Linked DNA regions of Callithrix jacchus. The protein of the gene in region 1 interacts with the protein of each later gene in a pairwise test. Links are inferred from orthologs where the notes say so. Each region holds a gene or a part of one and is shown on either strand. Other genes may lie near its edges. The genes, in order: UBE2U, RNF144B and TRIM32.

What was found.
Region 2: the proteins of UBE2U (region 1) and RNF144B interact in a two-hybrid assay, tested with the Homo sapiens proteins (2 studies listed by BioGRID and IntAct). The link is inferred for Callithrix jacchus from reciprocal best matches to the Homo sapiens genes UBE2U and RNF144B.
Region 3: the proteins of UBE2U (region 1) and TRIM32 interact in binary tests that used the Homo sapiens proteins (3 or more experiments, as listed by UniProt). The link is inferred for Callithrix jacchus from reciprocal best matches to the Homo sapiens genes UBE2U and TRIM32.

What each region holds. Positions count from the first base shown.
Region 1 is NC_133508.1:101,414,805-101,418,449, forward strand, and holds part of UBE2U (ubiquitin-conjugating enzyme E2 U), read left to right. Parts: intron 1-2,981; coding exon 2,982-3,178; 3' UTR 3,179-3,645. UniProt on the Homo sapiens protein: Catalyzes the covalent attachment of ubiquitin to other proteins.
Region 2 is NC_133505.1:12,567,047-12,571,432, reverse strand, and holds the start of RNF144B (E3 ubiquitin-protein ligase RNF144B), read left to right. Parts: upstream 1-1,443; 5' UTR 1,444-4,336; intron 4,337-4,386. Other genes in the region: protein DEK, read right to left, coding at 669-816.
Region 3 is NC_133502.1:165,034,540-165,038,618, forward strand, and holds the end of TRIM32 (E3 ubiquitin-protein ligase TRIM32), read left to right. Parts: intron 1-488; exon of another isoform or gene 489-491; 5' UTR 492-569; coding exon 570-2,531; 3' UTR 2,532-3,573; downstream 3,574-4,079. UniProt on the Homo sapiens protein: E3 ubiquitin ligase that plays a role in various biological processes including neural stem cell differentiation, innate immunity, inflammatory resonse and autophagy.

The DNA.
Region 1 (3,645 bases):
TAATCCTTTGGGTATATACCCAGTAATGGGATTGCTGGATCAAATGGTTTTTCTAGTTCTAGATCCTTGAAGTGTGGAAGACCACACTGTCTTCCACAATGGTTGAATTAATTTACATTCCCACCAACAGTGTAAAAGTGTTCCTATTTCTCCACATCTTCTCCAGCATCTGTTGTTTCCTGATTTTTTAATGATTGCCATTCTAACTGGTATGATGTGGTATCTCAATAAGGTTTTGATTTGCATTTCTCTAATGACTATTGATGATGAGCTTTTTTTCATATGTTTGTTGGCTGAATAAATGTCTTCTTTTGAGAAGTGTCTGTTCAGACACTTTGCCTACTTTTTGATGAGTTGTGGTTTTTTTGCAAATTTTTTAAGTTCTTTGTAGATTCTGGATATTAGCCCTTTGTCAGATGGGTAGATTGCAAAAACTTTTTCCCATTCTGTTGGTTGCCACTTCACTCTAATGATAGTTTCTTTTGCTGTGCAGAAGCTCTTAAGTTTAATTTGTCTATTTTGGCTTTTGTTGCCAATGCTTTTGATGTTTTAGTCATGAAGTCCTTGCCCATGCCTATGTCATGAATGGTTTTGCCTAGGTTGTCTTCTAGGGTTTTTATGGTGTTGAGTCTTATATTTAAACCTTTAATCTATCTGGAGTTAATTTTTGTATAAGGTGTAAGGAAGGGATCCAGTTTTAGCTTTCTACATACAGCTAGCCAGTTTCCCCAACACCGTTTATTAAATAGGGAACCCTTTCCCCAATGCTTGTTTTTGTCAGGTTTGGCAAGAAGACCACTTTTTCCTCTGGATTTTGCTGTGTCTGGTGTGGTTACTAGAATGGCCATAGCTCTCTTGCTGCGCACCTGAAGGTGAAGACAACACCTCAGACAGTAAAGCAAGCAGTGAAAAGAACTATGTCCTCTGTGACATTGTGGAGTCTCTGTAACAGTCAATCCAGCCCTCCACTCTGGCTTTTCTCTTATGTGAGATAAAACATTCTCTTATTGTTTAAACTGGGTTGACTTGGCTTTATATTTCTTGTAATCAAAAGCATGTGGAGTCAGAAAGGTCCAAACATAGTTAGAAAGAGCTGGAGTTAGTCCATCAGTAATATGTTCATGGAAAATAAAGTAGAGGCTTTTGTCAAGGCACAGACAGAATTTAGTCTTAAATTAATTACAACTAAATATTAGTATCAAAAGTACAAAAATTAAAAATCACTGGAGGCTTCAGGATACCCATAGGATAATGGGGACTGTGTAAACTCAAATCTCTCTGTGTATCTTTCTCTCTTTTTTTGTTTTGTTTTGAGATGGAGTCTCACTCTGTCACCCAGGCTGGAGTGCAGTGGCTTGATCTCAGCTCACTGTAACCTCTGCCTCCTGGGTTCAAGCGATTCTCCTGCCTCGGCCTCCAGAGCAGCTGAGATTACAGGCTCCTGTCACCACACCTGGCTAATTTTTGTATTTTTTTTTTTTTTTTTGAGACGGAGTTTCACTCTTGTTACCCAGGCTGGAGTGCAATGGCGTGATCTCGGCTCACCGCAACCTCCGCCTCCTGGGTTCAGGCAATTCTCCTGCCTCAGCCTCCCGAGTAGCTTGGACTGCAGGCATGCACCACCATGCCCAGCTATTTTTTTTTTGTATTTTTAGTAGAGACGGGATTTCACCATATTGACCCAGATGGTCTCGATCTCTTGACCTCGTGATCCATTTGTATTTTCAGTAGAGATAGGGTTTCACCATGTTGGCCAGGCTGGTCTCAAATCCGTGACCTCAAATGATCCACCTGCCTTGGCCTCCCAAAATGCTGGGGTTATAGGTGTAAGCCACCATGCCTGGCCTCTCTATGTATCTATCTATAAACCAAAGACAGAAGAAAAAAAAAAGTCACTTGTAGCCCATGTCTATAATGTAAGGAGACAACAAATATTACAGGGCTCATTTTATATGTAAGTGAGGAAAATAAACATAGAAGGCAAACAGAATTTGTCCTGCAACCCATTAATAGGCAGTGAACCCAGAGGCAACTAGGAAAAAGGGAAGAGAATACAGTGATCTTTTAGAGTTAACAGAACACAAATAGTGCCAGCTAGAGTTCATCCCCAGAAAGCAAGATCCCCATGCTGTGTGGAAATATAGATCTAGAAACGTAGACATTAGATCTATATTCTTCTTTTGAAACGTATCATCAGTTTATTTTCCTCTTTATATGGCCTATAAGATAAAGATGAAAGTCATTTGCATGACATATGAAGCTTTCCTGATCAGCCTCCCTTCCAGCTCGACAAAAGTTTTTGTGTACTATAACATTGTGTTTTTGGATAGACAAATCTAGGATGAGTCTTGTTACTAGCTGGATATCTTTGGTCAAGTTACTATAGGTTTCTCAGCCTCAGTTTCCTCAACTGTAAAATAATAATAATAATGCCTGCCCATCATGAGGGTTGTGTCTCAGTTAAATAATATCATGCCTGTTAACTGCTTAGCATCGCACCTAGCACAGTGGAAGTACAGGGGCATCCACTCTAATCACCCCTAACCCTGTCAAGTCCTCTCATACCTTTGTGCTTATATGATGTGTGCTGTTTCTTCTGTCTAATGTTTTCTGACCTCCTTCTCTGTCTAGCAAACTGCTCCTCATGTTTCAAAGTCTGAGTCTGTTTTCACTTAGACATAGTGATTCCCTCCCTGGGCTCCCAAAGCAGCTTTTCCCTTGCACATCAACTGGCCCTTAGCAGGGACTCAGTAAATATATGTTAAAGAGTGGACTAGCAAAGCATAAAAAGATTGAGCAAGATGGAAAGAATGATTTATGACAAAGTTACTTATAAAACATGAAGTTTAGAAAGTTTAAAAAAGGTTGCTCGCATTCAATCCGATGGTCTTTGGCATTATCCTACAAATGGAGGAGCTTCTCTTTTCATTGTTTTTCCTGTTATAGCTATTAAATTTCATTTTTCATTATTCCCACCACAGATGAAATTTTTCTTGAGTCACCAACTGCAATAAATAGCATCACAGACATTTATGAAATGGAGGAGGAGGAGCGGAAGAATGACTCTTCATTATATGCTTCGCTATATGAAGATGATACAGACGAGCCCAGGGAAGAGGAAGTGGAAGATCTGATCTCCTGGACCAACACTCTCAATACAAATACTTTAGAAGATTAAGCAGCGCATTATCAGATTTTAAAAATAAACAGCCTCCACCACAGCCCAGCGTTGTGGAGCAATTTTGGAAGACTCTCAGAACTTGAATTCCATTCTTTTCAAGTTGTTCTCTTCCTCTCACTGCAGGTACAAATTTGAAATATAAGTACAAATCAGTAAAGATGTTGCTTTGGCTTTTTTCAGTGCTGCTTCTTTAGAACTAAGTTACCTAAGTTAGGGGTGTTCATTGCTATATGCTAATCAATGGGGTTACACTCCCACAGTGTCGTGCAGGCAGGAAATGGGTTGGAAAGAGGCTGGGATAGGAGGGGAGCAGTTAAAAGCTTCAGAGGCTGGACATGAACCCGAGTAGAGGGATCTATACACGGACCTACATCTGCCTTGTCTTGTTTTCTTCATATTCAAGGAATAAGATGTCACTATTTACGAATGTTCCTCTTCTGTTTTATCCCAGAGTCCATCCCATT
Region 2 (4,386 bases), on another chromosome or scaffold:
AAAGCAGACTCAGTTCCGAAACCGAGACATTTAACTTTCAGAGTTCACTTTTCTCATTTTGAACTACTTTCTCAAGTAGCAAGAGCTTTCACCGCTGTTTGCCAGGGAGAGAAACTTTTTGGCAAACGTAAAAATATTTCCAAGTATTCAAATACTTCCAGGTCCAGCCTACATTAACATCAGTCTTAACGGGCTGCACTAAGACATTACAATAACGTCGAAAGGCAACAGATGTATTAACATCAGTCTTAACGGGCTGCACTAAGACCTTACAATAACGTCGAAAGGCAACAGATGTGTAATGAAACGGACAAAATTAGAACATCCACTTAACAACTTCAAAGGTGCACATGCGGAGTTAAAAAAAAAAAAATCTAATTTAAGACCTACAAACTTCCCGTCAAATTAATGAGTATTTATTTAGAGCGGGCATAAGTCAGCTGCACTCCAATACATCACTACCACGCTAATACCGGAATACACAAAGTTAATTCTATGCAATCGCTCAACACAAAAGCAGATAAATTGTGCATGCATTCTCGCTGAAAAATCACTCCGACTTTATGCCCCTAAACACCAAAAGAGCAAGAAAACTGTTTCCTGGGGCGGGCGGGGGGGGGGGGACTTCGGTCTGAAAAATCCATCATTTGGGATGCAACTCCCCCCACCTTTTTCCTCCTCCTCCTCCTCCTCCTCTTCGTCGTCTTCGTCCTCTTCCTCCTCGCTCTCTTCTCTGGGACCGGGCATTTCGGGTTCCTTCTCGGACGCGGGCTCAGCGGGGGTTCCCTCTCCCTCCGCAGGGGCCGAGGCAGACATGCTGTGAACCTGCGGATGGGTAGAAAGCCGGACGTCTCGGTCCCCCTGCTCTCGTAGGCAGGACACGGCGGCCACCTCGAAAGATACAACCCTTCTCGCGGGACACCTGCCCTGAAAGTTGTCTCTTCCCGTAGCCGGGACGGCAGCGCTCAGTCCCCAGGGACCGCTTCCCTGCCGCTCCGCCCGCCGCCGTCCAGGTATTCCCGAGGCGGGAAAAAGCGCCCGCTCGGCCTGCGCTGTTCCCCGCCCGGCCCGGCCCGAGCTGCCGGCCCTCGGCGTCCCCTCCCCCGCCCCAAGCCGCCGTCCAAATGGCTGCGTCCCTCCCCCGTCGGCCGCGGGAGTGACGACCGGGCCTCCTGCGTCCCGACGCAGCCCTCACCGCGGGTCCCGACCGCCGCGGGCCTGTCGTGCGAGGACACGAGGAGGTTCTAGGAAGCGGCGGCGGCCGACGCCGAGGAGAAGGCGCGCGGGCCGCTGTCTGGCGTGACGCTCACGCCGCGCGCTCGGCTCCCTAGAATCAACAAGATTTTCAAAATGGCGGTTCGGGAAGGAGAGCGGGAATGCGGCGACCAATCAGGGCCGCGAGCTGGGAGTTGGCGGGCGCGGGGCGGGGGAGGCGGGGCGGCCGGGTGCCTCCGCGGGAAGCCCGGGCGGGCGGGACTGCGAGGGGTCTCCGCGGCCGCGGAAGGAAGGATGCGCGCTCTAGGCTCTCCCGGGCTGCGCCTGGCATGCGGTCGGCGCTCGGGCCCTGAGGTGCGGGCGGGCTGTGTCCTGGGTGGCGGTGGGGAGCGGGAGGCGAGGCGGCCTGGCCGCGCGGAACGGAAGGACGCTAGGGGGCCTGCGTGTTTATTGTCTCCACCGTCGCTTCCCGGAAAAGATGATGAGTAGTCCCGGGCCGGGGAGGGGCGCGGCGGTAAAGAAGTTTAGAGATCCCCGAAGTCGCTATCGATAACGTTTCTTGGAGGCGGAGGGGAATTACTCAGTCAGCGATCTCATCAATGCCCCAGAAATCATGCTGGGTGATATATAACTCCCCAACCTGCTATGTTTCTGAGGACCCCGTTGCTTTTAAGGTGCATTGCAAGGAAAAAGACCTTACTTGCCACGTTAAAGGTTCACATAACCAGCCACATAGATTTACACCCCTGTGAATATAGGGGGAAAGGCTCCCTCCCACCGGATTCCTTCCCCTCTCCTCTCTTGCACACACTACTCTGTTTTAGAATACAGGAAATACCTTATTTGCCCAGGTCCAGACCCTTCTCCCAGAGTTCTAGGCTATCTCTGCAGGTGCTTTTTACATTCAACACTGCAAACACTCAAAGCAGTATCTTCCCTGCTCCATGCTGCCTTCTTTTGTATGTGATTTCCTTTATTTTATCTCAGCTCTTCAACCACCAGCTCACCCAGCGGATCCTTGTACTCAGTGGACTTAATGGAAATACGGTCAGTGAAATTTGCTTGGATTCTGGATTGCAGGACAAAAATTAAACCGTTTCTTTGAATCTTCTCTTTTCCTTTTGTGCCCCTTCCAAAACATATGCCAGTGGTGTCATTCCTACTCTTGTATACCATTTTCCACACTATTGATTCCACTCGCATCCTATCCATAGCTGTCTCTCCTTGTTACCTGACACATAGTTGAAGGATCAGAAGTTTGTGTTTCAGCCCTATTTGTGTTATAGCTCTTTCAGTCCTGCCATTTGGCAGGTCTTCAGTTCTTGTCCTGTGTCCAGGAAGAATGAGGCACCCAAACAACTGTAGGGTGAGCAAGGTGTACAAGAGCTTCACTGAGTGACAGAACAGCTCTCAGGAGACCTGAAGTGCGTTGCTCCTTTCTGTAGGAAGGTTGTCCTGACCAGTGTCTTCCCTCAGTGGAGAGGAGACCCATAATGGGCAGCTCCTTTCTGCAGGCAGGTTGTCCTGACAAGTTGAGAAGACCAAAGTGGGTAGCTCCTTCCTATAGCTGGTAGTCCGGACCTCTGGCTGAGTTTGGGGTTTTTATGAGCTCAGAAGGGAGGAAGTGTGTGCTGATTGGTCCATTGGTGGGCCCAGAAAAAGCACCATAAGTTCTCACTCTGCCCAGAATTGGCCACTGGTACCTGGTTTGAAGGTGAGCAGGCACCAACCCCTTTCTGCCCAGGAACTTGTCTGCCTCCCACCATCAACATGTCATCTGTGGCACGCAGGCAGTTTATGCCAAGGGATCCCTGCAGGTGCACACAGAGCCACCCTCAGACCCTTCTTGCAGTTGTTGGTGTCCAAAGTCCAGAGGGGGTGGATGTGGCAGGGGGAGGGTGTGTCAGTACTACCCTGAATGCGTACACACCCAGCTGGGTTGCAGTAGCAGCCACAGCTTTACTCTGCCTTGGAGCAGGCCCTGGGATTGAGTAGAGGATAGAGGCCTGTAAGCAAGCACTTTCTTTCTTTCTTTCTTTTTTTAATTGAGACAGGGTCTCACTGTCACCCAGGCTGCAGTGCAGTGGTATGATCTTGGCTCACTGTAACCTCAGGAGCAGGCACTTTCAAGCCTGCAGGGGCAGGGGCTTCTTGGGCTCCCAAGAGCGAGGATGCCTGGGCCCAGAGCTGTTGCTGGACCACCGATGCTTACCAACTCGGTAGGGGGCGGGCCTCTTGCGTGTTCCCGGCCCCTGCTGGCTCTGAGGAGTGTGCGGCTCTGGCTGTGCCTTCCATGCTGCAGCTGGCATCCTCTCAGTGGCTGCTCCAGATGGGCTGCCACTGCCATCAAGACCATGAATAAGTGAATATAAATCCTACAACAGTTAGTGATAACAGTTAAGCAAGTTAAAGAAGATAGGAAGTACCGGTAGGGTGGATGGGATTTTGTTTTATATATTCAGCAATTAAGCAACATCTTATTAATAAGACATTTGAAAAGATCCTAAGAAAATGAGAACTCTGAAGACCGACTTGATTGTTCCAAAGAATTCTCTGAAGTTTTGGATGTGGGCAAGAGTCAGCTGGAAGTCAATGATGACCTTGGGGTTTTTGGTTCAACAACTGTAGGAACAGAGTAGCCATTGGTTGAGATAAGAAAGACTTCAGGGGTGGGGGTGGGCAGGATGGTTTTGAAGGGGAAAGTGCAGGAGGTGGGAATGAGTTGTTTTGTTTTAGACATGTTAGTTTTGAGAATTCAAAAATGGAGATTCAGGAGTGGCAGTTGGATTTGAGAGTCTGGCCTTCACCAGAAGTAACTCGAGCTGGAGATACAAATGTAGCAGTTGTCAACATGTAGATGGTATCTACAACCCTGGAACTGAAATCACTAACAGTGAATATAGGTAGGGATGAGGAGATGCTCAATATGGCACATTGGAACTCTCCAGTGTTTACAGGTTCAGGAGTGAGAGGGGAGCCCACAAGGAGAAGAGAAGGAGCGACTGTAGCCAGTGAAGTGGGAAGATAATCACATGAAAATTGTGTCCCAGAAGCCAGGTGACAAAGGAGTGTTTTTGAAGGAGAGAGTGATCCACTGAGTCAGATGCTGATAAAAGTTCAGGTAAGATGAGAACTGATAATTGACCATTGTATATACCAATGTTGTGTTAT
Region 3 (4,079 bases), on another chromosome or scaffold:
CTGTATGTAATTCTCCTGTGCTTTTCTCTTAGTGTAAATTATGAGTTGTAAAATTCACGAAATAGCAAAATAATTATTAGCATTTATTACAAGTATATTACTTCCCTGGTGCTATATCAAGCATATCGTATTTATCTTGCTACTTAGCCCTTACAAGAACCATATAAAGCAGACACCATTACTACTTCTATTTTATAGATGAGTGATGGGGAAAGAGCTTTTGGAAGTTTGAATTACTTCCTTATGGTCATTGCAACTAAGTAAGCATCTTAGACTACAGAATCTGAATTATTATCCACTATGCAGTGTTTCATCTGTTTTGTTTCCCTATGAGTCACCCTCACGTGACACATAATAGACCTCTGTAAGATAGTTGTTAAGTAAGTGAATGACTGAACGACTGATCATAGCTATTCTCTAAATGTTTCTTCAGTGAACTGATTTATATAGTCAGAGGAAATTGAATAATGGTTTCTTTTTCTCTTTAGCAGGAACTTGACCCTCTAGGGCATGAATACTGTGCTGTTCAGTTCTGAGCTGTGCTAGCAGTACCCTTCAAAGAAAGAGCAATGGCTACAGCAGCAGCTTCTCACCTGAACCTGGATGCCCTCCGGGAAGTGCTAGAATGCCCCATCTGCATGGAGTCCTTCACAGAAGAGCAGCTGCGGCCCAAGCTCCTGCACTGTGGCCATACCATCTGCCGCCAGTGCCTGGAGAAGCTATTGGCCAGTAGCATCAATGGTGTCCGCTGTCCCTTTTGCAGCAAGATTACCCGCATAACCAGCTTGACCCAGCTGACAGACAATCTGACAGTGCTAAAGATCATTGATACAGCTGGGCTCAGTGAGGCTGTGGGGCTGCTCATGTGTCGGTCCTGTGGGCGGCGTCTGCCCCGGCAGTTCTGCCGGAGCTGCGGTTTGGTATTATGTGAGCCCTGCCGGGAGGCAGACCATCAGCCTCCTGGTCACTGTACACTCCCTGTCAAAGAGGCAGCTGAGGAGCGGCGTCGGGATTTTGGAGAGAAGTTGACTCGTCTGCGGGAACTTATGGGGGAGCTGCAGCGGCGGAAGGTAGCCTTGGAAGGTGTCTCCAAGGACCTTCAGGCAAGGTATAAAGCAGTTCTCCAGGAGTATGGACATGAGGAGCGCAGGGTCCAGGATGAGCTGGCTCGCTCTCGGAAGTTCTTCACAGGCTCTTTGGCTGAAGCTGAGAAGTGCAATAGTCAAGTGGTAGAGGAGCAGAGTTACCTGCTTAACATTGCAGAGGTGCAGGCTGTGTCTCGCTGTGACTACTTCCTGGCCAAAATTAAGCAGGCAGATGTAGCACTACTGGAGGAGACAGCTGATGAGGAGGAGCCAGAGCTCACTGCCAGCTTGCCTCGGGAGCTCACCCTGCAAGATGTGGAGCTCCTTAAGGTAGGTCATGTTGGCCCCCTTCAAATTGGGCAAGCTGTTAAGAAGCCCCGAACAGTTAACATGGAAGATTCCTGGGCCATGGAAGCTGCAGCCTCTGCTGCCTCTACCTCTGTTACATTTAGAGAGATGGACATGAGCCCGGAGGAAGTGGTTGCCAGCCCTAGGGCCTCACCTGCTAAACAGCGGGGTCCTGAGGCAGCCTCCAATATCCAGCAGTGCCTCTTTCTCAAGAAGATGGGGGCCAAAGGCAGCACTCCAGGAATGTTCAATCTTCCAGTCAGTCTCTACGTGACCAGTCAAGGTGAAGTGCTAGTTGCTGACCGTGGCAACTATCGTATACAAGTCTTTACCCGCAAAGGCTTTTTGAAGGAAATCCGCCGCAGCCCCAGTGGCATTGATAGCTTTGTGCTAAGTTTTCTTGGGGCGGATCTACCCAACCTCACTCCTCTCTCAGTGGCCATGAACTGCCATGGGCTAATTGGTGTGACTGACAGCTATGATAACTCCCTCAAGGTATATACCTTAGATGGCCACTGTGTGGCCTGTCACAGGAGCCAGCTGAGCAAACCATGGGGCATCACAGCCCTGCCATCTGGCCAGTTTGTAGTAACGGATGTGGAAGGTGGAAAGCTTTGGTGTTTCACAGTTGATCGAGGATCAGGGGTGGTCAAATACAGTTGCCTCTGCAGTGCTGTGCGGCCCAAATTTGTCACCTGTGATGCAGAGGGCACCGTCTACTTCACCCAGGGCTTAGGCCTTAATCTGGAGAATCGGCAGAATGAGCACCACCTGGAGGGTGGCTTTTCCATTGGCTCTGTAGGCCCTGATGGGCAGCTGGGTCGCCAGATTAGCCACTTCTTCTCGGAGAATGAGGATTTCCGCTGCATTGCTGGCATGTGTGTGGATGCTCGTGGTGATCTCATCGTGGCTGATAGTAGTCGCAAGGAAATTCTCCATTTTCCTAAGGGTGGGGGCTATAGTGTCCTTATTCGAGAAGGACTTACCTGTCCGGTGGGCATAGCCCTCACTCCCAAGGGGCAGCTGCTCGTCTTAGACTGTTGGGATCATTGCATCAAGATCTACAGCTACCATCTGAGAAGATATTCTACCCCATAGGAGATGAGAAATACCAGTTTCTTCTGCTCCCTAGCCAACCTCCCTTCCCTTAGTTCTTGGTTGTTAGTGGCTCATATAGAGTAGACTTGGCCTATGTCTTGATTCCAGCTGGGTAGTTCTAGAACTTCAGAAGCTCCATCTTTTAGTGTTTTTTATTTTCCCCTCCCCGCTTTCCACCTAAATTTAGAGCTTTAAAAGATGCACTGCCCAAATAGGACATACGATGGTGTTAGCTGAAGTTTGATTAGCAATTAGGCACTTCCAAGGCTTTAGTAGAAAGAGCCACTTTAGCCCTTTGTGCCATGTTTGACATTTGCCCTTGTATTAAATCCTTGATTTTTTTCCTTTTGGCTTTGATGCCCTTGATTCATTGTTTCCTTCCTATTATAATGTGCTTCATCTGTGACACTTCCTCTTCAACTCTGATTGGATTCAGTGTGCATGCTTCAGTGGTCTCTGCTCCACCTTTCAGTGACGTTTCAGACATCATATTCCTGTAATATGATGTCTCAGTCCAGTCATCTTCACCAGTGTGAAAGCTCATTCATTTAGTGCTACCAAAGGGGATACACAGGCCCTTTAGGAAGCAGTACCTCTTGGCTGGAGGATCTGTGCCATCTTGGATTGAAAGTTGGAGATGTGACAGAATGGATTGACCCTAGTTGGATGGTATTGACGACTTCAGCCTGGAAATTGCTGGCCTTTTAAAGAAGCATCTGTGGATTGGAATTATGCCAAAGCATTGGAAGCTGGGAATAAGCGAACAACTGCTGATACAGTCAGCATACTTGGATAGTCATTAGGGCTCATCATTTTTCATACTACCTCTCTCTTCTGGCCTGTGTCTATTGAAAGTGCAACACAGGCCAGGGCCAACAAAGTGGGGAGGTGGACACATTTTCATGTTTATTACTAAAACAAAGAGCAAAACTGTTGGTTTGTTATTCTGTATTTTCCTCAAGTGAGTTCATACTATTTGGTTTCAGGATCTCTTTCCATTTCTCTGCCAAGCATTAAATAATTGAGAACTGTTTCTTCCTCACTGGTGTTTATGTCTTTTAATTAAATACAGGATTTTGGAGATGATAAGAGGGATAACTTCCACTATGCCATTTTGCTTCCTTAGCTCACACTGTGTTCTTTGAGAGTGTAGGTAGCTACCCAGATTAAAATTCAGCCAAAAGCACTATTATGTAAATATAATAATCCAAATCTTTCTCCCAAATACACGTGTACAGAATCATCCACCCAAGGTTTATGGTCACCAATACCCTATTCTAAATTGAGCTTCTGCTATATGTTTTATGTTTATAATTACAGTTCACAAAAGGGAAGTTAGTTTTGTTTTTAAGATCAGAAATGGGTGAGAGAACCTGTGATGAGGTTCCTGAGGCTTTGATGTTTACTAAGCAGTATATCTTACTCTACGTGCAAGGCTGATGCCAAGCCAAAGAGCAACTCCCTTGCTTTCATGGAAACAAAATTTGCTAAAATGAGCTGCTCAAAATTGTTTTTATGGTAGTAATGTTTCTTTGGCTTGTGTTGTAA